Caenorhabditis elegans: one gene and its partner. The protein of the gene in region 2 interacts with the protein of the main gene of each other region in a pairwise test. Each region holds a gene or a part of one and is shown on either strand. Other genes may lie near its edges.

Region 1 (17,711 bases), on a different chromosome or scaffold from region 2:
CACGTTGGCAAAAATTTGTGGATTTAGCTGAAAATTGACGATTTTTTCCAAAACTTTGAGTCGCCATAATTTTTTTTTCGAAATATTCCCATAGCGTTTTATTAAAAATGAGGTAGTTTCGGTGATTTTGGATTTAAAAAAGTGACGTTTCAAATTTCGCTACTCCACCTTAAAGACGCAATGAAACTGTAAAACGTGTATTGAAATACAGCAAAGTAACAAGTATTTTAAGCCTAAATAATTTGCCCTGTCCTTTCAACTTTTTTTTTGGAAATACGAAACGGGACAGAACTTGTTCCTGGAATTTTTTAAAAGAATCACGGGAATCTAGAGTAAAAGTTCAAAACTTCAAAAAAGGCACAAAAATTTATTTACATGGAATATGCATTTTATAATGAAAATGACAACAACTGGAAACGATTAAAAAAAATAGGCCTACATCGAAGGAACGCATTCTGGGACATTTAATCATAAAATTTGTAACAAGATTTTTGTTTCTATTATAGAAGACATTCAAAAAAATTACCGTATTTGCTATACATAAATGCTCCTTGACACAGTCTCCTCCAGTGGAAATCGGTCCGTTGGCGCACTTCTCGTGCATCGCGTGGAAAATTGAGAAATTACCAAAACTTTCAATTTACTGTTTTTCTTTATATTTTTCATAACATAAGCTTGGGTGGAAGATTACTTTTCAAATAAACATCAATTTCTACTAGAAAAATGATGATAAATATAAAAAATATAAGAAAAACTCAATTTTTAGTTGTTTTTACTTTTTATATCAGCGCTTTTATTTTTGAACCAAAATCAAAAATCTTTTTTTCTCCTCCTTTCCCCCAATTAGCTTTACAATTGATACCTAATTTCAAAATATGAAATCGATTTTAAACCCACAAAAACCGAAGGAAATCATTTTTCAGTGGTAAAATTTTCCAACGCTCACGAGAAACGCGCAAGCCCCCTTGTTGGGTCATTTCCACGTGAGGAGGCTGTGCTTGATAAAAATTTTTAGAGGCAAAAGCCCATGTACACTATATATTTTCAAATTTGAAAAAATAGAGTTAGGCTCGGAATTTTTGTTTTTAGTTTTGATAGAAAACTCCCGGTAATTTTTGATTGCCGCACATCCCTGTTCTGTTATTGCACTAGTACCTACTTTTCGCTATGTAAATTGTACATATAAATCTATTTTGAGATGTTGTTAACCAACACTAATATTTTGAATTTTGAATGAACAAATATTCTTTCTGTTCATCTTTGAAAGTTGAAAAATAATGTATTTTTAGTCTCACAATGATATCATATACAAAAGTATTTTAGACACTAAATCAATTTTTGATACGCTGTTTTTGAAATGCCGTTTTACTTTTTTTTGAATATCAAGTTTGAAATATTAAAAATCCCATCCATCTTTATGAAAACTATGGAAAATCAAACTTCAATTCAACTTGACCTAATAACATTTTGATCAATTACCAAATACCTTTCATTTGAAACAAAAAAAATCATAGGTGTTTTCAGTCTACATTTGAAATGCGGAAAACATAAATTAATATAAATCTTATCACATCTGAATCATCCTAGTGATGACAAACATTTTGAACTAATCATCCAAGTGAGATCAACAGGGTTCAAGACTGCTTCTCTGGCATTCGAAACGTCACTAGCACAGTGATGTACACTCAGAAAGAACATACGTCACAAGTATACTGGAGATCATAAACGTCGTTTCCATGTGTTCGAATGTTTTGATATTTGTGCTATTCGTTTCAGGAAATCCTCAAGCATCATTCAACAGTTTTATGGCTAACCCATGACGTGGAAATTCTCAATACAAAACTGATGCAAGCGGGTCCGTTTAGAAAGTCCTCCAAGAATGCTGTCACATATATTTCACATGATAGTCGTCGAAAAGTCACGTCTTCTGGTTGGAACTGATCGTTCTTTGGGCAATCACTGAATAGACACAATCGTTTACAGGCTATCGTCCGTACTTCCCCACCAGTTCATTGATGCCTCACTTCCCGATGGCCGTGCTACTGAAGAATGATGCTAGAAATCTGATCAGATGGTGAGGTTACTTCAAAGAACTATCAGGACTCCCCCTGAATCCTTATCAACTCGATCAGCTAAGTGTCTTGCAGAGATACTGAATTTCTAACTGTAAAGGAAGAAAGTACAATTCCAGTTCCATTGAACATTTATTTGTCCCTATAATCATTTCGTGTCTTTTTCGTCTTCAAAAGTTGTCCAACGATCTAATGATTTCTTGAACGACAGTCTTTCGACGACGAAAACACGAGCGCTTGTGACGTCGTTCAAATGTGTACATTGCAGGGTGGAAAAGTGTGCGTTGACACCCGAATGCTGGAAATGTGATACATCATCAGGCGTGACCGAAGATTGCACATGGATGGTATTACAACAAGTGGCGTCGGATGCAAAACAATTCCGATTCTTTGGCGACTCTTACGGATCAATTAATAAGCAAACATGGGGACCTCCGGAGTGTGATTTCTACTGTACAATGTGGCTCGTCGGTGTAACCATTGTCGCTGTCGTTTCATTTGCAATTTTGACCCTAGTTTTGCTGAAAAAATCCACCAAAAAAACTAAGTAGACTTCAAAAGTTTTTCATTGTACAGTAAGACTCCCGCCAATCATACAACTGGTTTCTATGCTTCCTACACTTTCAGATTTTCTCATGCAATAAACGACATTTCCTAAAAAGGATATTTGAAGATTCTGTCAGTCTAGCTATCTCTAGTTATCTGCCTTAAAAAGGTTCACAATTAGAGTTCTGAATGACAAAATTTTCCATTTAAGAGAGAACCCTTAAATTAGGCCAGTACGCAACGGCAGCTTTGCACTTTCAATCAGAAAAAAACCGCCCTGAATTTTCAGGATCATAAAATTGCTTTAAATATCATTTTCAGACTATTGTTTTTTTTTTGGAGTTTAGAGGTATGCAATCCTACTTGAAGCTTCTTGAAAAAAACACGGCTCCCATGAGGTCGCAGCACCGGCCTCACGGCGTCACTCACGAGGCATGTATCCAAATTTAAAGTGCGGCGCGGAACCTGGAAAATGTCGGCCGCTTCTAAATAACTACCCTTCGCACTTCATTGTATACACACAGCGGTGCGCGGAGTCGGCGTGAGGACTTCATTCCGCGCCTCACTACACGACCGAAGTTTTCAAAGTTAACAAATCTCTTCCGGTTCAAAAAAAAAATGCAAAATATTTTGTAGTGGCCTTTTTCAATAGCCAACTTTATCTCTATATTTAACAGTTTTAAGCAATTTTTTTTTCAGGAATGGTAAAAATCGTAGAAAAAGAAATACATTCTTTGTACGTTCATGTTATTCTTGAAAAATTTTTATTCACGGAAAATATTTGTTCATACTTGTTTTGTTTACTCTTAACATGCATGACGTTCTGCGAATATTGCTAGAGATCTTCGAAAAATCATTTAAAACTCGTGAACAGTTTGCATCATAATTGGATCAAATGGTCTATATTATCGTATCGTAATCGGTTTGGGTTTTGTGGAGAGAAGTGGAGAAATGACAAAGCCCAAAGTTTAAACATCTTCTTTTCTCTGTCCTCTCGTCTATCCGCCTCGTGTGACAGTATGATACCACCCTTTCTGATAGTGTGTGTGTGTGTGTGTGAAGTAGAAGAAAATCGTCGTTTGTCCCTCACCAATTCTGTCTTCCCATTTGCCTTTTTCTCTATCTTCTCTATTATCATATCTTCTATTTAAACGAGCGCATCTGTCAGTTGTAAACTATTATCTCTTTCCCTTTACACTTCCGTATTTGGGTCTCGATCGTCCAGTTTTTTGAAGTGTCATCTTCAACACAACCTTCAAAAGTCGAAAGCTATCAAAATGTTCGCGCAGATACTCCGTCAGATTATTTTCTTCAATCTAATTGTCACAATCGTCTCGTCAATGAGTCTTCTCGATGCCTACAGATCTGAGAAATTGACGCGACGTCGGATAGGAATGCAAAACACTGATTTCCGTCCGATTCTTCATTTGCGCGGAGAAGATGATTGGGTAAGTCAATACTTTTCAATTTTTTAGATTTGAATCGGTTTTCACCAATACTGTTTTCAGCAAAAACAAATCAATGACAACTTCTCGCCCAACCAGTTCATGGATGAGAACGGTATTGTATATGATATGGATCCCACGATCAACGACAGAATTTCCACGTTTTTCAATAGTCAGAGAATCACCAGCAGTAGATTTGGAAGGAAGAAGAGAAGCTTGATGTTCCCGAGACTTTTTGTGTAATCCAACTTAAAACTATCTTGTTCGCATTTTTTTTCATATATCCGTTTCCTTCATTTTTCATAGCGTACTCTCGATTTGACATGTTCTCTCTAGTGATGTGTTACGGGTATTTCCTGATGTACATCTAATCAACATGCTAAGTCAGTCACACTCAAACAAATATACCACCTCTGATCTCATAAAAATGATTTTTCTTTCCATGATGTATTTTTTTTCTTTTTTTAAAATCAAATATACATAATAAATAATCACTTTTTTATTAAGAAAAACTTAAACTTGAATAAATTATTCATATCATATTGAAAAGGTACCAGACCATAAGTCAATGTGAAGAAACTTAAAGAAAAATAAATACTCGAAGAAGTAAGTGACGCAGCGCGATAGAGATGTCAAATGTCAGTCATTATCATCTCGGTCAGATGAGGAACCCGTACATAGAAACAGCATGATGTAGAATAAAAGTTGAAGAAAAGAAGCTAACAGGTAAAAAAAATTTTTTAAAAAACTGATCAAATCAAATGGGCATTTTTTTGGAAGTTTACTTGATGGCATGATGACTAGCCCACAAATCAAACTGCCGACTCATTGCTAATTTTTAAGGAAAACTTTTCATTTCCAGGTTTGGCTTGCTCGGTCAAATTGAAGAACGGAATACTCGAGATGGTGCAAACAAGTTGAACTCCGCAGTCGATATCCTGAAAAAAGGTAATATTAAACGGTTTAGCAAGTCTGAGAAGTAACTGTTTTTTTTTCGAGCGAAGTTTGAGTGAATCTTTTCAAAAATTTTAAAAATTTTGATGGCGGTTTCAAATTTTGCTTGAGATGTACCTAAGTCAACAAAATAGCGTAAGATAACTTACCGAAATTTGCAATATAAAATCATTCAAAGGTACATGGGTTTAGCAGAATAAAATGATAAAAATTTGTTGCCAATCGGCTTTAAATAATGCAGAAATACCAATTTTCGGATTTTATTCGTAATATTTTTTGTTAAAGTGTTTTTGTAATGCTCTTGCAACCCTACCGACCGATCAAGCATTTTTTTTTGAATGCAAAACTACTGGAGGAAATATGGGACATACTACTGCTATGGTGCCAAAAATGCCAAATATAACAGAAAAACGTTTCGAACAAAATTGAATTATTTTTTCAAAAAGTGACAATTACTCAGTTTTGCCACTCATAATGTTGGAAGTAGATTTAAAAAGTTGTTTCTACTATTTTGTTTACTTCAATTTTGTTTTAAACATTTGTGTTCGAACTTTGTAAGTGTCCGAACATGCGAAATTGCTCTACATTTTTTTAATGCTTAGACTTTTCAAAAATTTGGCACTTTGCCAATACGTTGTAAAATTCAAAAAATCTTTAAAAAATTTTGGAGTGTTTAATTATGATATTCGGTCGTTTTAAATGTGTATTTAGCTTCAACATTAACTTTTCAAAATCTTACTGGGTTGTGCGATTTGAGCACTAGATACGTTCCGTGTTGAACTCCAGAGCTCACCGCCTCGTCGCAAATTACCGACCATTTCGATTCCCCGACAATTTCCCGTTGGGGAATACGGTCACTGAAGAAGCGTTGGAGAAATGTTCGATGAGACAACTTGAGTGTTAGGCATCTGAAATTTGAAAGCTTAATCTTTGAATTCTGTTTATTAAAAAAAACGTACCTTTCAATGTGCCTCGTAACTTCTCCTGAAGGATGTCTTGACTGAAGACGAGTAGTTTTTAAATATTTGGTGAGCGGCCGGACAATCCATGTGAATACGTTTTGAGCAGCGGTCAGTGAGTCCATCTGGTTGTTAATTCCAGGCTTTTGGTTCGTTCCGGACTCGGCAGTGTTCTGAACATGGGAGAATGCGTCTTCGGCGGCGGCAATTAGGCGATACCTGTAAAGATTTTATGAGTTTCGAAAAGAGGCCATTTTTAAAAGCTTTGAACCGCCATAATTTTTTTTGAACAATTTTCAGAACTTCTCAATAAAAATTTCCTTAATTTTAGGCCATTTTGTGTCCAAAAAATCATTTCGCTACCTCAACTCTAAAATATAATTCCAACAGTTGTGACAGGGAAAAGTGGACAAAATTTGAAATTATAGCTTTGAAAAAAGTAATATAATATTTAGGAAGTTGAAACAGCCGTTTAAAAAAAGTTTTAAACTTTTTTGAGAAGTTTCATTACAAAATTTGTTCAAAGTATCCAAATCGTTAGTTCTGAATTTGAAAACACTTACTTTCTCTTCTTTAACCGTTTTTCAAAATCAAGTTCTTCCTGCATCACTTCAGCATATCCACCAATCCTTCTTCTCGCCGCGGCTTCCATCAAAGCCCGCGTGTTGACTTCACTAACAGTTTCCTGCCCTCCAAATTGCTCGATATTGTACATCTTGAAGCCTGCGGTGCCTCCTTGCATTCCAGACTGCTTTGCAACCGCCGTCTGTCTGGCGTTGTCAAGGTGAATGTTGAACGAGGAGAATCGAGTTGTGTAGAAACGAAGAATCTCGGTGGCAGCTTCTTGAATTGAGCCAGCGCCAATGTTCAATGTATGCATTTCACCGTCTGGATCGCGAACAATAGTTACAATGAATTGGGCACGTAGACGACGAAGCTCGAGGAGCACAACAGAGAGATAATGTGTCCATAGAAGAGCGTCGAGCAGTGATGTGGAATAGGAAACCTGAAATTATGAATTATGATTTCACAATTTTTTTTCGAAATGATTCATAGTGAAGTCGAACAGTATACCCGCTTCTGAATTTTCGCTACAAATTATGAACTTAAAAAAAATGGTTCAACAAATAAACTGTTGCCTAAAATTTTGTCCACATGATAACACAAGTTTCAACATTTTAAAAGACTAAGTTACAGCGGCCGACACCTCGCGAGCCAATTTTTTTGCCACATCTCATGACTGTAACTCAAGAATGAACAGTTTTCATGAGCAAAGTTTTAGTAACAAATAATCCGCAAATAATTTTATATTGCATGTTATCAATCGTTTTTTCTTACGCAATCGGTAGAATTGAAAATTTCGGTTGAAAATCTGGTCATTTTTTTCAAAAATATTTTTAGGCATTTATTTTAAATAACTAATGTTTACACTTTTATTCACATTTGAACTGAAAGTTTTAGAACAATTTAACCTCCATTTTCAGAAATTGTTCACGATGAGTGCCGGCATTGCTACACCTTTAAAGGGACGTGGCAAAAAAAGGACTTACGAGGTGCCCGATGCTATATCTTTTGATTTCAATGACTTAATTTATTGAAACCTGAGTTATCAAGTAGACAACATTCTAGGTAACAGTTATGTAGTTGAATTTTAATTTTTAGGGTACCTAGCTTGTGCGCTATACTAATTTGAAACTATAAAAAAAGCCAGCAAAAAAATCCCAAAAACGCATATACTTTTGGCCACCACTGTGTTTGAAAAAAAAAACCTACGATGTACTTGTAGTTGTCGTATCTTTCAAACATTATCCTGACAATGTAAAAGAGCCAAAACGCGAACAGGATAAACATGACTAAAAATGTAAGCGCAGCTCGTACAAAGTACAACCTGGGCATGTCTGCCATGGCTTTCCTCCAATAAAGAACTCCAATTGCAATTACCAAAAAGATTGTTTTGATTGCCATTAAAAACAGGAGTCCTTCACAATCGACCTGCAATACATTATATTTTTAATGCGATATAATTGGTTTTCGAAATACTCACGTCACATTGAATTGCCGGCATGCTGAAGCCGAAACGTGGTGCGATTATAGGCAATGAACACATTATCGGCGCACTGACCACCGATATAATGCAAAGTAACGACGAGGCCAACAGCCAGACAAACCTAGAGCACCTGAATTTCAATAGTTATAAAAAGTGAAATTAGAAAAAAAGAACATTTACCGTCTTCCTATGACACGTCCAATTGGTGGGGTATAAATCACTTTTTCTTCCATTGTGAAAGAATCCGTCGTCATTCCAGTGAGCACGGTGGTGTTGTCTGCCCAGTCTTCGTTAGGTGGTGCAATCTTCTGGCCCTGCAAATGAATTATAGATGTACTCAAAAATAGATTTTCCAAAAGTGAAAACGCAAAGCGATAAGATATGTATATCGACTCGGCGTTTATGACATTTTAAATTTTAGATAAGATATTTGGTCGGCTTATATCTTATTTTGACACATCTGAACAAAGAATTTAAGGAGTTTCAGAAACTGAATTAAAAACGAATTTCGTAATAAAACTTCTAAAAAATATTTATGGGAGGTTCAATATTTCGAAAAAAAAGACGAATTTTTTTAAAAAATTCTCAAATTTTGGCCACGTTTCCGTGACACAGCAGTTTTTTTGTTTTTTTTTATTGAATATTTTGGTTGTTTATCTCACGGTATTTCATTTATTTATGTTTTTTAAAAACTTTACCAAATCTCTTCGTTCATCGCCTTTAAAATAATTAAATAAAGTTGAAAACGCAGGATAATTACATTGTATACTCAAAATTTTACGGAAATTTCAAAAAAAAAGATTCCAGCCGCAACGACATTGACGAGTAGGACAAATTTCAAATTTTAACTAATTTCAGGCCTACTTTTTAAGGAACTTTTTAAGCGAATAGATAATCAAAAATTACCTGAATTGGTTACCTACTGGCATAAAAATTGCCTGCTCAAAATGTGAAAAAATTAACCCTTTCTTTAAATTTTAAACCGACTAAAAACATTTTGAACACTGTTGAGAAGTTTCATTACAAAAAAAATGTGTTCATTTTGAGCACATATTGGTACCCAGAGCCGTTACTCCTCATTTAATTGAGTTTCATTTTAAAATGTATCTTCAAAAAAAAGGCTTACCTCACTAGCAATTGCAGAAAACCTCGGTATAAATGGCTCGCCAATTTCAGATTGTGCATATCTTGGTCGTAGTTGCTTCTTGTGTCCTTCATACCGAAAACCTCCAACGCAACTCCTCGTGTCTTTCGGAAGTTTCCTGTTATCTTGATACGACATGTTCCACCTGAAAAAAAAAATCTCTCCAAAAATTTTGATCCATTGAAAAGAATGAGATTTATAACATATTATATTTCATGTAACAAAAAAAATCCGAACGGAACGATAGATTGGCAAAGACAATTTGTGAAAAGAGATAAAACGAGCCCTTCGGGTTGCGCACACGCCGTCATAACATTTTCGTTCCACACACACACACACAACCGCAAGTAAACGATCCATCCACGATCAATGACAAACGAGTGGACGGAAAAGAGGGGACCCCGAAAAGAAAATAACCTCTAACACATTATGCAGCGTCCTCCTCTTTCTCCTTCCACTGCTTGCCCCAGCGCAACCCATTCGGCCAGTGTGTGCGTATGTGTGGTGTGGTCAGAGGCGAGCGGGGAATGGGAAGAGGAATGGTGAGTGAGCGTGCGTGTGTGTGTGTGTGTGTGTCTACTACTATCCGCTAGGCCGCACCAGATGCGGGGCTTTTCGAAAAACGGACCCCCGGACCGGAGCATCTTTCTTGTCACCCCTTGGAGCCGGTTTTCATCTCCCAATGGTCGTCAATTACATGCGACACTCATTGGTGATTTCAAAGAGCGGATTTGGGTAGAAGAAAACCGAAAAGTAAGATTTAGCTGACGGGCTCCTTATTTTGTGACGAAACATGTATCTATTTTAGGTACTTGTGTAATATACCTAGCTCAAAAATATGTTTCAATACGTTTTCCATTCATTTCTTTTAAAAATTACAATTTAAACAAAACGTGAAATTGATTTGTATTCTTAGGTTTAGAAAAACATTAATCCTTATGGACATAGTATAGAACATAATTACGTAAAATTTTCAAAATGATTAATATTTTAAATCCAGGTATACTTTCACAAGTACCGCATTTTAGATAGCTGAGAAAATCATAAAATAAGAAAATATGGCAACCTGGCAAGATATAAAGCTTTAGGACTATTGAAAAAGTTGAATTCTAAACAGCTCGGTACAATAAAATTAGCATCAATCCGTCAAGAGGTGAACGAAAAATGGAAAGACGACAAATCAGGGGTGTGCAGTAACAAAGATGAGTGGGGTGAAAATGGTGTGAGAGGCGAAGGTGTGCGCGCGCAGACACACCACTCCAAAGAACCACAACGGTTACGTAGATAACACAACAGTAGTGCAAATGGTAATTTCATTGGAGCACATTTGCAAGTGTAAGTGAAAATTGGGATCTATGCATCGATTGTTTAGTGTGACAATCGAAAGGTGCTAGAATGCTTCAACCGTAATTTTGTCAACGTTTTGTTGTTCTAATATTTATTTTTTGGTACTTGTGTAGCAGGAGCAAGCGACAAATTTGCCGAATTTGTCAAGTTCACCATTTGCCAAGCTCGGCAAATTTCAAAACAGTATGTTTGGGGAATTTGCCGAGCTCGGCAAATTTCGAAATTTTCCGCACACATCAAAAGTTTGAAAAACAATTTTGACTAAAACTACTGATTTTGACCTCAAAAATTTCAAAAAAATGACACACAAACTCACGGAACTTATGCAGAAACCAGATGTTTTTTCTGAACGCAGTAGTTTTGGTATGGAATAAATTGAAAAAATTCAACAACTCATTTCTAATGTATAACTTTGTTAAATCACAAAGAAACACTTTTTTTTCAAAAATTTTGTTATGTCTCTAATATGAAATATAGCATAAATAGGTATACATTTGTCAGAAGTTTGTATTCAAGAGTAAAAAAAGCCCCTCAGGGAAGGCAAATATCATAGTGAAAAACTCTAAAATGGCGGAATTGAAATTACCGGCAAATGGGCATACCAAAAAACTGCCAATTTGCCAAATTTGCGCGCAACCTCGGCACTTGCCGTAAGTTTTTGGCAAATTGTGGTTTTGCACATTTTTTTTTTAATTTCAGCATTTCAATTTCAGCCGGCAAAATTGTATGGATCCTATAAATGTTCCTACATCAATTTTGAAAAGTAAGCTAATTCTTTTTAAAAATATCTTTTAAAAAAGGAAAAAATTCAAAAAAACACAGTTTTAAGTGCTTCCGTTTTATAAAATGTCCAATCAATCTCCCCACTGGCGCTCCGCCACCTTTAAATAAGTTTTCCGTTTACAAAACCTCAAAAATTTTTGCAACGGAAACATTTTTCAAAAAAACTAATAGTGAACTTATCAACGATTTGACAAAAGTATTTTGATGTGGTCTAGAAAATTATAAATATTTACTTGAGCATTTGAAAATCATTTTGATGTCTGAAATGTTAATACAGTATTGAATTTCATCAAACTGCCATTGACACCGACACCGTGAGAAATAATCAAACAAAATGAGAGGAAACGGTAGGTCAATGCTCCAAACATTCAAAAACGCATTTCCTTTTAAAAGTCAATCTCATAACATTTTTGGAGCATGAAAGTAAATAAAGGGGGTGCAAAATGAATAGAGTTGCATTTATTAACAAAAAAAAAACGTACGGTAGCTGCGCATGTGAATAAGAAATAAAAATGATTGTTCTCACGACCTTTGTTACACATACCTATGCACAATATTTACAAAACACAAGTTTTAAAGGAGAACTAATGGGTATTTTGAACGTCTATACTCAATATGCACAAAAATAAACGAATTTCAAAATGAAACTTTTCTTGAAGTTTCCAAAAACCTTTTAAATAATTTTTAAGGCGGTTCAAAATTTTGAAAAAATGAGGTACATAATTGTAGTTAAAAACTCAAATTTAAAAAAATTGATTATTGTTTTTTATTGCATTTATCTTAACTTTTTAAAACTAAATTGAATATGAATTTTGAACTTGAATTTTATTGAACTTTTTAATGCAATTTACAAATTAAATTATGAAGTTAAATAAAATGGTAACTCAAGACGAACCCAGAAAGAGTAAAATTAATTTAAAGCCAATAGGTAATCAATTTTTGACTTTTTTTGGTTACCAACCAGCTTTAAGCGTATCTTAATTAACGGAAACGGTAATAACGAAATGCTAAGCATTTCGAATGTCCTATAAAAATGTTAATTCGATAATAACTGTATTCCAGCTGATTTGACAAGAAAAAGAATGCGAAAAGTCAGATTTTATTTGAAAATTTGTACTTTTTTCGAAATTTTTGAACCGCCATAAAAATTGTAAAAACTTTCGGGAAGTATAATTTAAAAGTTTGTAAGCTTAGGTTTTTGATAAAACATGTACATTAAAAAACAAATCGAAAGGTTGTCCAACTGACATTTGGCCAAAAAAAAAACACCGTCTATTTTTTATCTCCTGAAGAAATCATACCAGAACTTGGTACTTATGTAATAATTTTAGGTACTTGTGTACTTGTAGTGTTAATAATTTTGCAACATTTCCGTGACAATTTTCGGCCATATTATGCTTTGGATTAATGTTTTTATAAGCCTAAAATCAAAATTAAAGGATTAAAGGGCGATCCGTTCTTCAAGTGCTATGCACTGCGAATCTGGGATTCAGGTACACTGCCTGGTGGTGATCCAACTGGGCTATATTTTTTTAGAAATAAACTGAAAACAAGTTGGAAAATATTTTTGGACCAGGTATACTACACAAGCATTAAACTTTAACAAACTTGTAAACCGAAAAAGTAATTCTGCAAAAAATAATTAATTGCACAAGACGACATGAGATTATATATACATACCAAAAATGATTTTAAATTTGTTTCAGTTGTTCTCTTTTTTAAATCGCTCTGTTTTTTATAGTCACTGCTCACACTTTAGTTGAATTTTTTTTTTGGTTCATTTAAAAAATGAGGAGCATAAATAATAAATTTAAAATAAATAGTACATTTTAATAATCTTTTTCTATAAAATTGTGATGTTTCATGTTGTCAAGTTTTTTATATATTTATAACAGGACTAAAAATATGCTGGTAACCCAGCAGTTGCTAGGTTTATCGTCACATTTTATATAAAAAATCTATTGTTGGAGAAATAGTAGTGAAGTATTTTTTTAGGGACGCGCAAAAATTCTAACATAACTCTATTTGTTTTTTTTCACTCCTCGACAAAAAATTTAAGCAAATTAACAAAATACATATTTGGCTGAAACAATAAGGTCCAGAAATCAAAGAAAATGATGTACTTATAGGTTTCGTTTCCCCAAAATGTTTTAATTTTCTAAATTACCATTAACCACCATTCAAATTAAAAACGTGAACAAAAGTACGGAACAAAGAGACACAAATAATTAATGATATGCGCTAAAACAAATTTCAAAACTTCAACTCTATATACAGTTTTTTTTCCATGCCTTTCTTGTAGTCTTAAATAACACCTGGAACATACTTCGATCTATTTTTCAGACACAACGGTGTTCTACTCCAAAAAATCAGAAATATTAAAACACCCGTTTACAGTGAAAAGTATTCTTAATAATATAAATTTTAACATTTTTAGAAAACCCTACAATAAAAACCTTTCCCGTCTTTATTAAAGATAATTAGAAGTGTGAAATGTATGGGTAGTAATAAGAACTATACAGTTCACGATAAAATCTACAAAGATTCCGACAGAATTTAGTATATATTCCATCTTTGATGGCAACAGAGAAAAAATTCGAGAAAAATGTTACGATACTTGTGTTGTGTTAGAAAACTCACTGATATAATTATTACAACTTTTTAAATTTTTTCAAATTTTTTTGCACCATATTCCTATACTTTAAAATATTATATCTCGATTTATTTTGAAGATATTAATAAAAAATTTAGTGCAAAACTATAGAAAAATAAATGAAAATTATTCTGATAGTTGACAAGTTTTTGAAAAAACAAAATGTGCAGCACTAACAGAGAATATACGGTAATTTACCTTGCCTTTAAATGTGGAGTAGCGCTAGTAAAGACATTGTTTTAAAATTATCAAATACCATAGTAAAACATTTCAAAAAAAAATTGTTGAAAATTTTTTATCGAAATCAAAAAGTGGCAATAACTAAATTTTTACCACTTTTTGAAAAAAAAACTGTCGCATGTAACCTCTACAGAGCATCAATATTGTTCTTTGGAACATAAGTAGATCAAAAAATTCTTTGAAGAATTTTGTTTGATCGACGACTTCCGAAAAAGTGGAAAAAACTGAGTTTATTCAAATTTTCCAAAAAAAAATCAATTTAAAAAATTGGAAATTTTTTTGAATTTTTAAAACTAAAATATTTGCATGTTTTAAAGCAATTTCAAAGATTTTCTAATATACAAAACCAAAAACCGTTAATACTTGTCAGATCGTGAGTGAATAAAAATTCGAGTAACCCCATAGCTAACACCTGGCATGTATTTTATGGTCTGCTCGACCTCACAATTTCCTTTTCATCTTTTCATTAAAAAAAAACAACGTTTCAATTTTATGGATATGCTCTTTCTATTGCCCTTTTTGTTTTTGCCAAGATGTTTAGTTGTCCACTGAACCAGTTTTTAAAATATGATGGGGACAATTGTTGGGTAAGCCACTGTTCAAGTGAATTCTTCACTTTGTGAATGGTTTTCGTGTTTCTTGAACTATTAGAATGTATTTATTTGACTTGTTCAGAACTGGTCAGAAGAATTTAAAAATTTTAAATCCTATTACAATCCTGTTTGAATTCCGGGAAAATGAGAAATATAACTTTGCATTCAGTACCAGTACCACACCCAGATTCGCCCCCTACTAGACTATCAATCTCGTTGCAATTTATCAGTAACTCCATAGTATATTGCAACCCTCTGCGGTTTTGTTCTTGTCAGAGCAATCCATCACGTCCAGAAGGTCATATCATCAGTAAATCCGGAGGCGCATCTGAAGACGGGGGAACTACCGGAGATATTGTCGAGATAAGTTGCAGTAACCCAGGTCATTCCACCAAGCCGACTCCTACTGAAGACGTGGTGGAGGCAGAATAGGTGGGGGGGGGGGATTGAAGGAAGAATTGAGAGTGGATGCAAAGGGGGCGAGGGGTCATATCTGATGACCTTGTATGTTTTAGGCATCCGTGCGTACAGTCAACCGGTGAGACGAAGAAGATGAAGAAGAATGCGATCGGGGTGGCCGCGTACGGTCCGATAATGTGAGTGTGTGCGAGATGCAGAAGAGAGAGAGAGAGGGGGCAAGGAAAGGTGCATGTGAGCGGTAAGAGGGAGCGCTGCTGGCTGACCCCGCCCAATCTTTCCGCGCGCGTTGCGGACTGTGCGAGTGGGTGTTGTTCGTTTGAGTAGACCTCCTATACCCCCCTGTATTTTCACATCATGCCAAAAAATTATCACTTACTTACGTTTTTTTTTTCAGGGTCCCCAATGTTTTCCTCACCGTGTCATCTTTCGTGCGCCTCGGTGTTTTCCTTAATTGGCCTGGGCCTCGTATGTTTTGCAGTGACTACTGATAACTGGGTTGAAGTTCAGGTATGTTATTGCTTTTGATTTTATTGATTTATAATTATTAATTGACTAGTTCTAACTGTAAAATACATAAAATGAGTTGTTCAAAGTTATTCAGAAGTATGGACCAAAAATGTGCTCAGAAGAACCACTTTCGTAAAGAAAACTCTCAAAAATGCTCCCGAATTTATATTTGGCGGTACAAAATTTTGAATAAAAATAGTTTTTTAAAGCTAAATCTCAAATTTTGGCCGCTTTTTAATTATTTTTTTAATGGCACATTTTGGTTGTTTATTTTATTAATTTCTGTTAAACATGGTGCATTTAAACCCGATAGGTAACACATTTTGGCTAGTTTTTGTCATTTTTTTTCCTACCGGTTACAAATGTTTCTTAATCAACAAAATAACATGATATAAACCAAAATAAAGAAAAAACTATGATATTCAGAAAAAGGCAATTTCTAACACGGAAAAGTGCTTAAAACTTTAGAAACGAGCCCAGCCGCTATTGAAATTTTTTTGAAAAAACTTTTGAGAAGTTTCATTACAAAATTTGTTTTGTTTGAGCACATTTTAGGTTTATACATTTAAAACACACAGAATCCATATTTAGTGCTTCTAAATGAAGAAAGCTCACATTTTTCCAGGCATCAGTGCATTTAAAAATCTATAGAATTTCACAGTAATGTTTTAAAAAATTTTTTCTAAGAAATCATTTCCAACATTCCCACTTTCTAATTTAGCCGTTTTCTGAAACACGAAAAGTTGACAGATGTCCATTTTTTTCCCCCTTCTCAATTTCCTGTTCCATCCTACAACATCTAATCAATTCGACATTTTTTGTCCCGGTAAATTGGAATTCAACATGTTTCGACTTGTCTGTTTTCGATTCTTCGTTTTTTTTTGTATTTGACAAACAGACACTTTCCCTTTCAAATTTGTGCATCTTGAATCCGCCGAAACATGACAAAACCACGGTTCACACTTCAGACATGAAAACAAAAAAAAAAGTGAGCTAAGCTCTTTCCAATTTTGCTCCTCTCCACTTCCCGATTTTGTCCTGTTCGCATCTGCCGCTTCACTATCTATCCCCCTCCCCATCCTCGAATACTTTTATTTGTTGACATCACAACACCGGCGCGCGATGCTCGAAAGGAGCTTCAAAAGGAAACCGGCCCCTTGTAGCAGAGAGGCAATTGGATTGGCCGGGCAGTAAGCCGCCCTGGTCCTGTTGCTCACGTTCTTTTCCTACCTTCATTAAGGTCCCATCGTGAGACATGCGCAAGGGCAAAGGCATTTTGACGAGGGACAAGGTCAGAAACGCACAGTCCGGAGAATAGGGCAAGTAACAATAAATGAATGCAGGATATACAACAGGAAGATGGTTTTTCTTCTACTTTTTTGTGTGCGAGGATGTTCATCAAATTCCGTATTAGAATAGTCCAAAGAGAATGATTTATGTTCAGAGACATGATAGAAGATTGTCCGTTTTAAAATGTAATTTCGTTGCAGGTGAATCGAAGAGAAATCATAAACTCATTCAAACGAGAGCCCGAATTGAGTTTACGCCTTCAAAATGCTTTTGGTCACAACAACATCTACTTCTCTCGCAACTATGGTCTCTTCAATCTTTGCTTCCCTGATACAGTTCCACAAGGTTGGTTACGCATTCTGAACTTATTTGTATTATACTACAAATGTCTAATCCCAAAAAAAAAAGTGCTAATCGTTTTTGACGACCTTACCAGTCATGTTGAACGAAAACAGGAGAATGAAGTGTCTTTGTGTGTGTGTGTATGTGTGTGACTCGATTTTGTTACCAGTTACTTGTTACGTGGTTACTTTTTACAAGTGACTAACAATAAAATAAAACCCCCCAAGGTTAACACCAATAAAAGTAATTGTTGAAACAATAGATTTTCTTTAGCGGAAAATCAGAAAAATGGGCAGTTTTCAGATGTTGGAAGCTTCAGCAAAATGGGCTCTCCGTGCATCTGGAGCAACGAGTTCATGGTTCCAGAGT
Region 2 (16,300 bases):
CTATAATATCTGATCAAATTTTGAAAAGTTTTCAAAAAAATAAATTTTGGAAAATTTTATTAGATAGAGGTAGTCAAAGAGCATTTGAAGGTAGTCAATGAGCATTTATACATCAGATCGCATCTCCATTTTCTCCGGAATTTCAGGAAATGGAAAAGTGCACCAGCTTCTTAGACATCAAAAAGTAACATGTTATTGAAAATTCTGATTTTTCAGCGAAAAAAACTGAAAATTCTGAAAAATTAGATAAAGGTAGTCAATGAGCAACTGAAGGTAGTCAATGAGCCGAAAGGTAGTCAATGAGCAAAGGTAGTCAAAGAGCAAAAGGTAGTCAAAGATCTAAGGTAGTCAAAGAGCAAAGGTAGTCAAAGAGCAAAAGGTAGTCAAAGAGCAAAAGGTAGTCAAAGATCTAAGGTAGTCAAAGAGCAAAAGGTAGTCAAAGAGCCGAAAGGTAGTCAATGAGCAAAGGTAGTCAAAGAGCAAAAGGTAGTCAAAGATCTAAGGTAGTCAAAGAGCAAAAGGTAGTCAAAGAGCCGAAAGGTAGTCAATGAGCATTTATACATCAGATCGCATCTCCATTTTCTCCGGAATTTCAGGAAATGAAAAAGTGCACCAGCTTCTTAGACATCAAAAAGTAACATGTTATTGAAAATTCTGATTTTTCAGCGAAAAAAACTGAAAATTCTGAAAAATTAGATAAAGGTAGTCAATGAGCAACTGAAGGTAGTCAATGAGCCGAAAGGTAGTCAATGAGCCGAAAGGTAGTCAATGAGCCGAAAGGTAGTCAATGAGCCGAAAGGTAGTCAATGAGCCGAAAGGTAGTCAATGAGCAAAGGTAGTCAAAGAGCAAAAGGTAGTCAAAGAGCAAAAGGTAGTCAAAGATCTAAGGTAGTCAAAGAGCAAAGGTAGTCAAAGAGCAAAAGGTAGTCAAAGATCTAAGGTAGTCAAAGAGCGAAGGTAGTCAAAGAGCAAAAGGTAGTCAAAGAGCAAAAGGTAGTCAAAGATCTAAGGTAGTCAAAGAGCAAAGGTAGTCAAAGAGCAAAAGGTAGTCAAAGATCTAAGGTAGTCAAAGAGCGAAGGTAGTCAAAGAGCAAAAGGTAGTCAAAGAGCAAAAGGTAGTCAAAGATCTAAGGTAGTCAAAGAGCAAAGGTAGTCAAAGATCTAAGGTAGTCAAAGAGCAAAAGGTAGTCAAAGATCTAAGGTAGTCAAAGAGCGAAGGTAGTCAAAGAGCAAAAGGTAGTCAAAGAGCAAAAGGTAGTCAAAGATCTAAGGTAGTCAAAGAGCAAAGGTAGTCAAAGAGCAAAAGGTAGTCAAAGATCTAAGGTAGTCAAAGAGCGAAGGTAGTCAAAGAGCAAAAGGTAGTCAAAGAGCAAAAGGTAGTCAATGAGCAAAGGTAGTCAAAGAGCAAAGGTAGTCAAAGAGCAAAAGGTAGTCAAAGATCTAAGGTAGTCAAAGAGCAAAGGTAGTCAAAGAGCAAAAGGTAGTCAAAGATCTAAGGTAGTCAAAGAGCAAAGGTAGTCAAAGAGCAAAAGGTAGTCAAAGATCTAAGGTAGTCAAAGAGCAAAGGTAGTCAAAGAGCAAAAGGTAGTCAAAGATCTAAGGTAGTCAAAGAGCGAAGGTAGTCAAAGAGCAAAAGGTAGTCAAAGAGCAAAAGGTAGTCAAAGATCTAAGGTAGTCAAAGAGCAAAGGTAGTCAAAGAGCAAAAGGTAGTCAAAGAGCCGAAAGGTAGTCAATGAGCATTTATACATCAGATCGCATCTCCATTTTCTCCGGAATTTCAGGAAATGAAAAAGTGCACCAGCTTCTTAGACATCAAAAAGTAACATGTTATTGAAAATTCTGATTTTTCAGCGAAAAAAACTGAAAATTCTGAAAAATTAGATAAAGGTAGTCAATGAGCAACTGAAGGTAGTCAATGAGCCGAAAGGTAGTCAATGAGCCGAAAGGTAGTCAATGAGCCGAAAGGTAGTCAATGAGCCGAAAGGTAGTCAATGAGCCGAAAGGTAGTCAATGAGCAAAGGTAGTCAAAGAGCAAAAGGTAGTCAAAGAGCAAAAGGTAGTCAAAGATCTAAGGTAGTCAAAGAGCAAAGGTAGTCAAAGAGCAAAAGGTAGTCAAAGAGCAAAAGGTAGTCAAAGATCTAAGGTAGTCAAAGAGCAAAGGTAGTCAAAGATCTAAGGTAGTCAAAGAGCAAAAGGTAGTCAAAGATCTAAGGTAGTCAAAGAGCGAAGGTAGTCAAAGAGCAAAAGGTAGTCAAAGAGCAAAAGGTAGTCAAAGATCTAAGGTAGTCAAAGAGCAAAGGTAGTCAAAGAGCAAAAGGTAGTCAAAGATCTAAGGTAGTCAAAGAGCGAAGGTAGTCAAAGAGCAAAAGGTAGTCAAAGAGCAAAAGGTAGTCAAAGATCTAAGGTAGTCAAAGAGCAAAGGTAGTCAAAGAGCAAAAGGTAGTCAAAGAGCAAAAGGTAGTCAAAGATCTAAGGTAGTCAAAGAGCAAAGGTAGTCAAAGAGCAAAAGGTAGTCAAAGAGCAAAAGGTAGTCAAAGATCTAAGGTAGTCAAAGAGCAAAAGGTAGTCAAAGATCTAAGGTAGTCAAAGAGCCGAAAGGTAGTCAATGAGCATTTATACATCAGATCGCATCTCCATTTTCTCCGGAATTTCAGGAAATGAAAAAGTGCACCAGCTTCTTAGACATCAAAAAGTAACATGTTATTGAAAATTCTGATTTTTCAGCGAAAAAAACTGAAAATTCTGAAAAATTAGATAAAGGTAGTCAATGAGCAACTGAAGGTAGTCAATGAGCCGAAAGGTAGTCAATGAGCCGAAAGGTAGTCAATGAGCCGAAAGGTAGTCAAAGAGCAAAAGGTAGTCAAAGATCTAAGGTAGTCAAAGAGCAAAGGTAGTCAAAGAGCAAAAGGTAGTCAAAGAGCAAAAGGTAGTCAAAGATCTAAGGTAGTCAAAGAGCAAAGGTAGTCAAAGAGCAAAAGGTAGTCAAAGAGCAAAAGGTAGTCAAAGATCTAAGGTAGTCAAAGAGCAAAAGGTAGTCAAAGAGCCGAAAGGTAGTCAATGAGCAAAGGTAGTCAAAGAGCAAAAGGTAGTCAAAGATCTAAGGTAGTCAAAGAGCAAAAGGTAGTCAAAGAGCCGAAAGGTAGTCAATGAGCAAAGGTAGTCAAAGAGCAAAAGGTAGTCAAAGATCTAAGGTAGTCAAAGAGCAAAAGGTAGTCAAAGAGCCGAAAGGTAGTCAATGAGCAACTGAAGGTAGTCAATGAGCCGAAAGGTAGTCAATGAGCAAAGGTAGTCAAAGAGCAAAAGGTAGTCAAAGATCTAAGGTAGTCAAAGAGCAAAGGTAGTCAAAGAGCAAAAGGTAGTCAAAGAGCAAAAGGTAGTCAAAGAGCCGAAAGGTAGTCAATGAGCAAAGGTAGTCAAAGAGCAAAAGGTAGTCAAAGATCTAAGGTAGTCAAAGAGCAAAGGTAGTCAAAGAGCAAAAGGTAGTCAATGAGCATTTATACATCAGATCGCATCTCCATTTTCTCCGGAATTTCAGGAAATGAAAAAGTGCACCAGCTTCTTAGACATCAAAAAGTAACATGTTATTGAAAATTCTGATTTTTCAGCGAAAAAAACTGAAAATTCTGAAAAATTAGATAAAGGTAGTCAATGAGCAACTGAAGGTAGTCAATGAGCCGAAAGGTAGTCAAAGATCTAAGGTAGTCAAAGAGCAAAGGTAGTCAATGAGCCGAAAGGTAGTCAATGAGCAAAGGTAGTCAAAGAGCAAAAGGTAGTCAAAGAGTGTTTGCCAAGAAATGTTAAGTCGAGACATCTTTACCCGTTTGTTCTGTGGAGCGCGTTTGCATTCATCCAGTGGCTGTACCACCATAGGAAATTTGAATTCCCGCCTATTTTTCTCAGAAAATTTGAATTCCCGCCAATTTTTTTCTCAGGAAATTTGAATTCCCGCCAAATTTGTTCTCAGAAAATTTGAATTCCCGCCAATTTTTTTCTCAGGAAATTTGAATTCCCGCCAAATTTGTTCTCAGAAAATTTGAATTCCCGCCAATTTTTTCTCAGAAAATTTGAATTCCCGCCAATTTTTTTTTCTCAGGAAATTTGAATTCTCGCCAATTTTTTCTCTGGAAATTTGAGTTCCCGCCAAAATTATTCTAAGATAATATTAATTTCCGCAAAATAATTTTCAAACATTTTTTGTGACGTCACAGACTACAAAAACTACATAAAATATAATATTTCTAAAATATAATCTTTACACATCGCCACATAATATTTTCACTGCAAGACGTCCCCCCCCTTAGCGGCCAGCCACCCCATCTCACCTGTCCTATTACGTGCTCATCGTGCACGAAACCGCTTGAGTCAAAAGGGTGTGAATTGCGTAACCAACGAGTATTCATGTTTATACAACACATTGTTAATATTGTTGCTCATCACTTGTTTTAGGTTCAAGATGGTACAAATCAAGTGGGATGAGTACTTGTAGTAAGCATGTAACAATTGTTGTAGTGGGGGGTTTTAAGAGATGATTATGCAAGAGAGCAAATTGTTTTTTTTTTAATGAGGGGTACCAAAATCTGAGAAATATTTTTAATTGACTCCAAATTTTTCCCTGATTTCGAATATCGATGTGAAAAATTCAAAAAAAATTCCCTGCTTTTATATTTTTTCGGCACAAATGAAAATCGTGATTTCAAGCTTAAATATAAAATCAGGGAAATTTTTTTGAATTTTTTCACATTGATATTCGGAATTAGTAAAAAATTTGGAGTCAATTAAAAATATTTTCCAGATTTCGGTACCCTACCTTTAATTGGAAAAATTGTCGAAAAAACAACCGAAAATTTTCAATATTTTCGTTTTTTATTCTATTTTAATCCAAATTTTAGAGGATTTTAAAAAAATAATTTTAGCATAATTTGGAAAAAAAATTAGGTGCGAACTTTTACCTCTAACATTTTTTGAAACAATTTTTTTCACAAAAAAATTGAACCTGAAAACGATTGAAATTGTGGTTACACTAAGAAAGTTAAAAATTGTTTTTTTTTAATTTCAAAAACAATAGACAAAAATACTAACCAATGTGAACCTAAGACTATCAAAGCCCATACCATGGTCTACCTTCAAGGCCTGCCTTGTACCTATCAAGGCATTCATTTTGCCTACACGCATGCCTACTCTAAAAACCAACAACATTTGAACTTGGAAAAAGAAAAGTAAATCTGCCGTCAAAGCGACCTACGCCTACCGCGTGCCTATATAATTTTAAAATTTATTTTCCTCTGTGTACGCCTTCTGTTCAAAAAAAAACCTTAATGTACAAAAATCCAAAAACCTCAGTGGCCTGGAATTTTGAAATTTAAAATTTTAAGCCTCTAAAATTTGGAAAGCGAAGCTAAACATATTTTCGAAGAATTGAAAAAAAAAACTTTATTCAACCAGTTTTTTTCAAAAAAAAATCGGCCCTTTCCCAAAATTCCTTGACGATTTTCATACTTTGATACAACTTTTATAATTTATATTTTATCTCTCCATGAAAACGGTAAACACAGGATTAACGGAATGTTTCCATGGTATAGAAGGAGTTAATCCAATAGACCCCTAGACTAGTACATCTTCTTATCCATATAGTCTACAGTAACATTATAATATTTACACACCTCTCCCCCATCTCAACACTTTTTTCTTGTTACTTATGGGGTAATGTTTGACACAGGAAGCACGGGCGGTGCTCTTGGGCAAAGGTGTCAGGGGGAGGCTCTCAGCGGGAGGTAGCATTAACACCTTAACTCGTCTGGTGGGAAAGTATACTGTATTGAAAGAGTTTTAGGTGAGTATAAGTCATTATCTATACATTTTGACTCGTGGAAGAGTTTTTAGAGAATTTTAGACCACAAGAACAGTTATAGTCAATCTTTAAAATAAAAACTCGGACAAAAAATTTTTCAAACTTTTTTTTTTTGATGAATTCTCTTAAGTTCTGCGGTAAAAAATCCTAAAAAGGGTAAATTTAACACTCTAACACTACTCCTAAGCCTAAGCCTAAGCCTATGCCTAGCACAAGCCTAAGCCTAAGCCTCAGCCTAAACCTAAGCAAAAGCCTAAACCTAAGCCTAAACCTAAGCAAAAGCCTAAGTCTAGGCCTAAGCCTAAGCCTAAACCTAAGCCTAAGCCTAAGCCTAAGCCTAAGCCTAATACTAAGCCTAATCCTAAGTTTTTCCAGACCCCCTTATTCAATTTCAGCCGCCCCATTCTGAAGGGACACCTGTGTATAATAAGGGGAATGATCCGAATAAGGACGATCAGATATGAAAAGTAAGAAAATAAGGAAGGATCACCGACAGATATTCACACTTGAATGCACACCACCTTTCCCAAATTGAAACCCTCGCCCGAAGAAGGGACATGAGAATTGGAGAAACAGAGACATATTACATATTCTTGACACTGTGCCGCGCCGCCGTCAGGCAGTAAATCATGATAACTAATTGACAGAATGGAGAGACGGGTGTGTATGTATACAGGTTGACTAGTTGCCATGACATGTATATCTGGGTAAGAGCGAGTAGGCATGCCTGCCTTCATGGAATACCTTCAATGCCTACCTTGAGCCTATCAAGGCATGGCTTGTGCCTATTATTACACGTGGCGCCAGAGTTTGATCTACGTAGATCTACGAGACTTCTCAACTGATTTCGTATGGTTAAGAATGTGCTGAAGTCACGTTTTTTCGGGAAAAAATTCCCGCATTTTTTGTAGATCAAACCGCAATGGAACAGGCTGGCACCACGTGCAATTACTTTTCTTGTACCAATCAATGTGCCCTAAGACTATCAAAGCCTATCCCCACCTACCATGGTCTACCTTCAAGGCCTGCCTTGTACCTATCAAGGCATTCATTTTGCCTACACGCATGCCTACTCTAAAAACCAACAACATTTGAACTTGGAAAATAAAAAAATTCACCTGCCTTCAAAACGACCTCCGCCTACCGCGTGCCTATATAATTGCAAAATTTATTCTCCAATGTGTACTCCCATTGTACACCAAAATCTTAATGTACAAAAATACAAAAACCTGAGGGGCCTAGAATTTTAAAATTTGATATTCGAAATTCTAGGCCTTATTAAATATGAAAATAAAATGTGTGAACTCCTCTCGGACAAGTGAATATCTTCATTTTGAGGGTTCTCTTTAATTTTTCAATTTTAAGCTGTTTTCAGATATGTTTCACAAAATCTTGGTAGTCTAGAAAACCCCAATGGCCTAGAAATTGGAAAATCTAAGCCAAATCCTGGTCCTTGTAGTCGAGGAAATCCTTGTTTTAGGCTTTAGACCACAGACGTTCTAGGATTTTCGAAATGTATTTAAATACATTTATGACGTCATTTCTATACACTTTTCGATTTTCCGGCACGATGTTTAACGGAAAACTGAAATTCGAAATTCTAGGCCACCGATACAAGCAGGGGATCCTCAATGTTTCTCAATCTCTATTTATTCACACCTCTCTCCTCTCTTCCCCACTGCGCCAAACGTCGGCGCGCGACGAAGAAAGTGGGCGTGCCGGCCCAATCACCGCCAAAAGCACAAAAGTGGGCGGGCACTGATGATCTACGAGGGGAACAACACTGAAGAATCGCATCCCCCACTACGGTGTGACACATGGCATCCTTCCCGTTTTTAATGACACCTGAAACTATGAACAAATTGGTGACGCCGAATTCTGCAAGGTTGGTTCCTTTTTTTTTTGGTTCGTGTGAAGCCTTGGGGGGCTTTTAAAGGGGGTTCTGTAGTGTTAGTAAAGTACAATTTAGTATAAGCAAAAATCAAATAAAAAAGTTTTAAAAAAAAGTTTTTTGTTTCAAAAATTTTTTGTTTCAAAACTTGTTTCAAAAGTTTTTCCATTTTTTAAACATTTTTTTTTCACTTAAAATATTTTTTAAATAGGTTCGTACTCCACTCGGACAACTTATTAAAAAAAAAGAATTTTCTTACTGCCATAAATAATAATGAAAATTCAAGATTTTTTATACAAAATTCTAAACAAAATTTTGCACTACTTGTCCGAGAGAAGTACACCGGGGCCATTTCTACCTGAAATTTTAGATTTCTAAATTGTTTTTTTTTTTGAAAATTCACGGTGTTCTGGCGTTTCTCATTGAATTTTTCGTGCTCCATTGACAATCGCCCGCCTGACAACGCGTGGGAAAGTCGTGTACTCCACACGGACAGATGCACTTAGTTTTACAACTAAACTCAAGCCGCGACGCGACACGCAACGCGCCGTAAATCTACCCCAGATATGGCCGAGCCAAAATGACCTGGTTCTGCAAACTCTTCCATTTTGAAAATCAAAATCCTCCTAGAAAATTTCATGGTGTCCTAGGAATATTTTTAAAAAATATGTGAAGGGCTTTTCATGGAAGAGTTTTCCTCTGAAGACATTCTAGGCCACGGGGGTGAAAACAAAATTTTTCCATGTGTAATCCTCTCGGAACATCCCAATTTTCCAGTATCTCCTCGTCATCCTCCTCTCCGTCCACATCAACCTCATTCTCAATTGACACATTGCTCTCGAACCCGTTGGCCGGAATTCCGCAGCTTCACAATTTTCAAGATCCATTTGGAGCAGTGGGAGCCGCAGCGGCGGCTTCTGCCCTGCCATGGCAGTTTCATCCGGCTAATTATCCGTTTTTCTGTAAGTTTTTGTGTGGCCCACGTGGAGCGCATTTTTCGTTTTGTCGGTAATTTCAAAAAATCGCAAATTCGAATTTGGATAAGAACTTTTAAAAAAATCAATATCGCCCACGTCGATACACCGGTAGTTTATCAAAAGAGCGCACATGCTTCAATAACAATCTCCATTAGAACTAAACCACGTGGTGCCAGGCTGTCCCATCACGGTTTGATCTACAAAAAATGCGGGAATTTTTTGCCCAAAAATCGTGACGTCATGCTAAATCAGTTGAGAACTCTGCGTCTCTTCTCACGCATTTTTTGTAGATCAACGAAGATCAAGCCGAAATGAGACACTCTGACACCACGTGATAAACTAGAAGGAAGCGATGCTGAAAATGCGCTCTACTGTTCAAAAACTAAAATTTTTCAGCAATGCTCTGCGGACCACTAATGCCTCCATTCATGGCTCCATATCACCATCAACACTACGCCTCCCGACGAAAACGCCGGCATCGTACCATTTTCAGCGAGGAGCAGTTGAACATTTTGGAGACCACATTTTCAACGACACACTACCCGGACGCTACGACGAGAGAAGAGCTCGCGGTTCAGTGCTCATTGAAGGAAGAAAGAGTTGAGGTGAGTAAATGGAAGAGGAGTGACGTCACACCTAGGCCACCGATTTTGTAAGACTGGCTGGCCTAAATTAAATTCCTGGGGACTAGAAAATTCAATGGCCTAACAAAAGCGCGGAGCAATCCTTGGCCGTGTAGTTCTCTTGGGGCGGCTTTTCAGTAATTTTAAGATTATTTGAAACAGTTTTGAAAAGACCCGCAAAATCTAAATTCCGCGGATTTCAACCACCCGAGTTTTTTTCCAGAATTTTTTAAGCTTTTTGGTGGTTTTGAACGACATTTTGATGCAAATTAGACAAAAAAACTCGGGTAGTTGAAATCCGCGGAATCACATTTTCCCGGAAAATTTGTTTCCGCGGATTTCAACTACTCGAGTTTTTTTCTAAATTTTTGACAGTTTTTTGGTGGTTTTGAACAACATTTTAAAGATTTTTTAAAAATCTTATGCGAATTAGACTTAAAAACTTGGATAGTTGAAATCCACGGGACCGAAACCCCATAGAAATTGAATTTCGTGGATTTCAACTACCCGAGTTTTTTTCCGGAATTTTTAAAGCTTTTTGGTGGTTTTTAACCACATTTTGAAGGTCTTTTAAAAATCTTATGCGAAATAGACAAAAAACTCGGGTAGTTGAAATCCACGAAAGTGGGTTTTCCCGGATTTCAACTACCCGGGTTTTTACAGATTTCAAAGTTATTTTTTCGCAAAAAAAAAAACAATACCCGAACATTCCGGGTTAATGAGTCCATTAAACCCTATAATACCATATAGCTGTGTTTCTGAGGAAAACCGTCTGTGGGGTAATCTCTAATTACAACCTCTCACCTGCCTAAATCGTGTCGGCCCTTTTCAATTATTTCATCACCACCAACAGCTCTTCTTCTTCCGTTTATCTTCTTCCACCTGCCTCACTCACTTAACCCGGCAAATCTCAACCTGTAGAGGATGAGGGGGGCGCTGGAAGAGGAGTGACGTCGTCATAGTTCGGCCGCCGGCGCTGGCTTGATCTACGTAGATCTACAAGAAATGTGGCAGAGTTTTTGACTGATTTTGTATGGTTAAGAACGTGCTGACGTCACATAATTTTGGGTAAAAAATTCCCACATTTTTTGTAGATCAAATTGTAATGGGGCAGCCTAGCACCACGTGCCTTATCAATTGAATAATCGATTTTTAAAATAATATTCTTTAAATAAATTTTCTCTTCCAGGTCTGGTTCAAAAATCGTCGGGCAAAAGAGCGCAAGCAGAAGAAGGACGACAGTCGGACTTCTAAGGTAAGCTAGTACACTTTTTGAAAATTAATTTTCAAATGCGCTCTACTGTACTCTCACGGTCTCCCTCCATCACCGCCAAGAACGGTAAAATTGGCTCAGTGGTAGGCGCGGTTTTTTGTGTCAACAGTTTTTGGTTCAATACCCAATAGTGATTTTTTTTTACCTAAATTTCTCTACATTTTCAGCACAGCGGAGACGATTCCGAATGTGACGAGAGCGACGAGGACACCCGAAAAGTGAAACGGATAAAACGCGAAAATTCCAGCGGAAAAGAGACGAGCTCGCCCGAATCAAAAGCCTCACTGAAGACATCGCACAGCGAGAATTTGGTGTTGGAGCCTTGTTAGCATATAATTTGAATCTCTATTCCCCACCTAGCTGGAAATCCAGGCCACCCCCTCTTTATATTCTAGTCCCCCCCATCCCCTCTCATTTTGTCAAGTCAATAAATGTATGTGGCGAATTAATCCGATTCTAATCACGTTATCATTTTGTTGTGGTGGTTGGTTACTGTAGATAATCCCCCGTAAAATTCGCACCGCCCGACCGGTCTCTGGCGGATTACTGTAGCCGTTTGGGGGGAGAGGGGGGTTTGTAAGGAAAATCACATTGCTAAATTAATCGAATTAGCATTTTTATCAGCAACGATTTATGCGTGTGTGTGGAAGGTATTACTGTTTTAAAGAGGAAGTACGGTATTAAGATACCTACCCTGAAGGTAATCATGTGGAAATTTGATGATGTTCTCAACAGAGCGCGTTTGCACACCGCGGTGTGACACCTAGCTGTCTCCAGGCTCCCCTACGCCTCTCGCACCTGCCGCCGACCATTGGTGCGGCTCATGGCGCTGATTTAAGGCACCAGTCCCTTGTTCGGGGGTTCCACTCTCTTCAGTTTACTTTTGCATCGATGCACCAATCTGCAAATCCGGTCAAAATCCGCCGCACTAATCCCACCCGCTGCCGAAGGTCCCAAATCTTTTGCAAATTCTCGTGGGAAACGTTGCGAAGTCATTTTAAGAGGCTAATCCAATGTTTTCCAAAGAAATTAGAATTATTTCTGAATTATGAATGACAGAGAGGAAAGCAGATTCCAATTTTCGCTGTTAGAAAAAATATATGAGCGGGGTGTGGAAAAAGACACGGGCTCAGAAAGCACGGAAGCTCAAAGTGTCCCATTTTGGTTTGATCTTTGATCTTCGAAAAATTCGGGAAAAGAGACGCAGACTTTTCAACTGATTTCGCATGGTTAAGAGTGTGCTGACGTCACATTTTTAGGGCAAAAAATTCCCGCATTTTTTGTAGATCAAACTGTATTAAGACAGCCTGGCACCACGTGAGAAAGTTATAGTCTTGTGTTAATTTTTTTCTCGCGTGACTTTTCTGTGGGGCCGCGAAATTGTAAAAACTCGTTCATTGATCTACGAATGCAATTGCGTTCTACCGATAAATCATAATTCGTTAGCTCTGGAACCCAGATTTGCGTTTAATTCGAACAGCGGTCTCAAACAACATTGAAAATTGGATCAATTTGATCAGCAGTGTCTCATTTTAGATTGATCTACGTTGATCTATGATCTACAAAAAATGCGGGAGAAGAGACGCAAAGTTCTCAAGCTGACGTCACATTTTTCGGGCAAAAAATTCCCGCATTTTTTTGTAGATCAAACCGTAAGGAGACAGCCTGGCACTACGTGAATCAGAAGAAGTCTGCAAACTTCACTGAAACAAAATAACGTGGTGTCAGTCAGTCTCATTGCGGTTTGATCTACAAAAATGGCGGAAATTTTTCCCCCAGGAATTTGTGACGACAGTACACTCTTAACCATGCAAAATCAGTAGAAAAGTCTGCGTCTCTTCTCCCGCATTTCTCGGAGATCAAACCAAAATGGGACATTCTGACACCACGTGCAAGAGTGCAATCGCGCTCTTCTGATAAAATGTTAAAAATGTAATTCAGGGCAGAGCCCTAGAGAGCTTCTAGAAACTCAATATGTGTCATATATTTGTATCATTATTTGCTCTCAATTTGTACATGCACATACACTTACACGACACATAAATTATTAGTTTGCCTCATCTTGGAGGTGGTACGGTAGTTATGTGAGAAGTGGTGCGTGTCCTCTTGAGCACCTCACCACCTCCAGCTTCATCTTCATCTTCTCACCTGGTATATGCCTAAACAGACCACTTAGTCGACGGAGATCGGATTACAGAGATGACTTCTTGAGTGAGAGATGTTGGGGGCTCTTGGAGCAAGTGAAAGAGCAAATATTTTTGAAGGAGAGGGGGTGTTAACATGTCAAGAAGGTGTGAACATGTGTGTAAGATATATGGATCTATAGGGATTTTCTAGACGCCTACAGTATCTAAAGAGGGGTGATTTTTATAGAAAAGCTTAATCCCGCATGGTGTCGGGCGTTGCAAAGCACAATTAGTTTGAACCCGCGAAGTGTCGGGCGCAGGAAATTACTAAAAGTTTGAACATGAGAGGCTGCCTAACGGCGCTTGTTCCGACACGCGAAATGTCGGGCGCAGCGAAACACAAAAAGTTAAACTCGCGAGGTGTCGGGCGCGGTCGCTTGAGTTCGACCGAATGTCATCAATATTCAAAACCTTATGTTTAACGGAAAAAGTGTTTTCTTGTGAACGATTTTTGATCACGGCCGCTAAATTTTCTAGGCCACGCGTGGCGTCACAGAATTTTAGAATTTCCAAGATGCTCCCCTTCACTCCAGCAAAAGGTTATTGCTTATTTTCCGATTTGCCGGAAATTTTGAATTCTGGCAATTTGCCGATTTGCCGGAAACTTTCAATTCCGGCAATTTGCCGATTTTCCGATTTACCGAAAATTTTCATTTTGGCAAATTGCCGGTTTGCCGGAAATTTTCATTTTCGGCAAATTGCAGATTTTCCGGAAATTTTGAATTCTAACAATTTGCCGATTTGCCGGAAACTTTCAATTTCGGCAAATTGCAGATTTGCCGATTTGCCGGAAATTTTCAATTCCGGCAGTTTTCCGATTTGCCGAATTTGCCGGAAATTTCAATTCCGGCAAACTGCCGGTTTGCCGATTTGCCGGAAGATTTCAATTCCGACAAATTGGCGATTTGCCTGAAATTTTTATTTTCGGCAATTTTCCGGTTTGCCGATTTGCCGGAAACTTTCAATTCCGGCAATTTGCCGATTTTCCGATTTACCGAAAATTTTCATTTTGGCAAATTGCCGGTTTGCCGGAAATTTTCATTTTCGGCAAATTGCAGATTTTCCGGAAATTTTGAATTCTAACAATTTGCCGATTTGCCGGAAACTTTCAATTTCGGCAAATTGCAGATTTGCCGATTTGCCGGAAATTTTCAATTCCGGCAGTTTTCCGATTTGCCGAATTTGCCGGAAATTTCAATTCCGGCAAACTGCCGGTTTGCCGATTTGCCGGAAGATTTCAATTCCGACAAATTGGCGATTTGCCTGAAATTTTTATTTTCGGCAATTTTCCGGTTTGCCGATTTGCCGGAAACTTTCAATTCCGGCAATTTGCCGATTTTCCGATTTACCGAAAATTTTCATTTTGGCAAATTGCCGGTTTGCCGGAAATTTTCATTTTCGGCAAATTGCAGATTTTCCGGAAATTTTGAATTCTAACAATTTGCCGATTTGCCGGAAACTTTCAATTTCGGCAAATTGCAGATTTGCCGATTTGCCGGAAATTTTCAATTCCGGCAGTTTTCCGATTTGCCGAATTTGCCGGAAATTTCAATTCCGGCAAACTGCCGGTTTGCCGATTTGCCGGAAGATTTCAATTCCGGCAAATTGGCGATTTGCCTGAAATTTTTATTTTCGGCAATTTTCCGGTTTGCCGATTTTCTGGAAATTTTCAATTCCGGTAAATTTGGTGGTTTTCCGATTTGCCGAATTTGCCGGAAATTTCAAATCGGCAATTTTCCGGTTTGCCGCTAAGATTTGCGGCACGGCCGCTAAGTTTTCTAACCTACGCGTGACGTCACAGAATTTTAGAATTTTCAAGATGCTCCCATTCATTTCAGCAAAAAGTTTTAAAAAAATCCTATTTTTTATTTATAGTTTTCGAAAGTTCTAAGAAATATTTTTTTGCAAGCCATTGTTATTATTGGCGAAAAAACAATTCTTAAATTAATTTTTTTCCAAATTCATCTAGCTATTAGCATCTTTTGAAACATATTAACCACTCGATACACCATGATCCACTGCCCATCCACACCACCACACCGGATTACGGTAGTCAAGCGGTTTGTATTTGCCCAAGGATTTGACCGCTTGTAAAGAAGACACCTCGCTTTCTTGTACGTATGTCTATGTGTATGTAGTATGTCAATGAAATAATCGAACACATCCATCTGCCAAGAGGCTTCTCGGCACCCCTCAACTAATACCAAATGTCAACAGATCAACTGAAAAAAACGACTGGAGGCTCCTGAAGAAAGAACAAAAGGTGCGAGAAACTAACACCTGTCCCCCGAGGCAAAACGTCAAATTCGCCGTGTAAACATGCGTCGAATTTGCTACTTTTTCGAATTGCCAGGGGTTTCGTGGAAGAGGTGTAGTTAGGCCATTAAAGGAGGTGTGACGTCACAGTTGTCCGCAAATCACAAGTGATTCGCTGTATAAAAATCAAATTGAACACATTTTGTGGAAAGTCAAATTGTGATTTATAAAACTTGTGAAATTATTGGACAAGTTTTAAAATATTTAAGTGCAAAAAAAAGTCAGAAAATTTGAATTCCCGCCAATTTTTTTCTCAGGAAATGTGAATTCCCGCCAATTTTTTCTCAGAAATTTTGAATCCCCGCCATTTTTTCCTAGCGAAATTTGAATTCCCGCCAAACTTTTTCTCAGAAAGTTGAATTCGCGTCAAATTTGTTCACAGGAAATTTGAATTCCCACCAAAATTTTCTCAGGAAATCTGCATTCCCGCCAAATTTTTTCTTGGAAAATTTGAATTCCTGCCAAATTTTCTGAGTAAAAAAAAATTTGGCGGGAATTCAAATTTTCTAAAAAAAAATTGGCGGAAATTCAAACTTTTTGAGAAAAACATATTTTTTAAAAAATTTTATATCATCTTTATTTTGGGCAATGATAAAAATGAGCAAAAAAAGGTACACATCATCAATATAATAAAACCGCGTAAAAATGTGAGGAGATCAAATATATGCTAAAGTATGCTAAAAAAATAGGTTCTAAAATTTGAAAATTCAATTAATCGGAGCAGTATGCGCAACAGGTCTCGGCGGAATAACGGGCTGCTCATCGTGTTCCTGCCGGATGTGTGTGAGAAGGGGGTCCATGTCGAGGAATCGTGTTCCACACAGTTTACAGTTGAATTCGGAAGTTTCGGCGTTGATTGCGTGCATGTTGGGCATTCCGAGATTACGGTCAACTGACATCATTGGTTGCGTCGTGTTTTTCGATGGATACATTAGCTGAAGAAAAATTTGAAATTTGGGGAAAAATATGATTTTTTTAGGATTTTTTTTTGTTGTTGGAAAATTCAAATTTGATATTTTTTAAAGGATTTTTAAAAAACATTTTTATCGATTTTTTAGCTCGATTTAGGACGAAATTGAATTTTTTAAAGAACTTTAACAATGATTAAAAACCGATTTTTGATAAAAAGGAACTTTCTAACTTTTTTTTTGAAATCTGATTTAGGCCAAAATATAAATTTTTGCGG

Evidence for each region.
Region 1: the proteins of ceh-45 (region 2) and vang-1 interact in a two-hybrid assay, tested with the Caenorhabditis elegans proteins (one large-scale study listed by BioGRID).

Annotation. Positions count from the first base shown.
Region 1 is NC_003284.9:2,877,466-2,895,176, reverse strand, and holds vang-1 (Vang-like protein), read right to left. Parts: upstream 9,320-17,711; 5' UTR 9,306-9,319; coding exon 9,150-9,305; intron 8,338-9,149; coding exon 8,204-8,337; intron 8,154-8,203; coding exon 8,021-8,153; intron 7,969-8,020; coding exon 7,750-7,968; intron 6,983-7,749; coding exon 6,540-6,982; intron 6,196-6,539; coding exon 5,977-6,195; intron 5,926-5,976; coding exon 5,757-5,925; intron 5,002-5,756; coding exon 4,876-5,001; 3' UTR 4,496-4,875; downstream 1-4,495. Other genes in the region: B0410.1 (Nodule Cysteine-Rich (NCR) secreted peptide), read right to left, coding at 368-604; F52B10.3 (uncharacterized protein), read left to right, coding at 1,777-1,930, 1,984-2,074, 2,341-2,623; B0410.3 (Neuropeptide-Like Protein), read left to right, coding at 3,896-4,066, 4,127-4,306; F53B3.5 (Conserved plasma membrane protein), read left to right, coding at 15,606-15,710, 17,201-17,345, 17,646-17,711.
Region 2 is NC_003279.8:1,120,694-1,136,993, forward strand, and holds ceh-45 (Homeobox domain-containing protein), read left to right. Parts: upstream 1-7,630; 5' UTR 7,631-7,665; coding exon 7,666-7,733; intron 7,734-8,516; coding exon 8,517-8,701; intron 8,702-9,112; coding exon 9,113-9,321; intron 9,322-10,528; coding exon 10,529-10,594; intron 10,595-10,779; coding exon 10,780-10,941; 3' UTR 10,942-11,072; downstream 11,073-16,300. Other genes in the region: znf-236 (C2H2-type domain-containing protein), read right to left, coding at 15,822-16,049.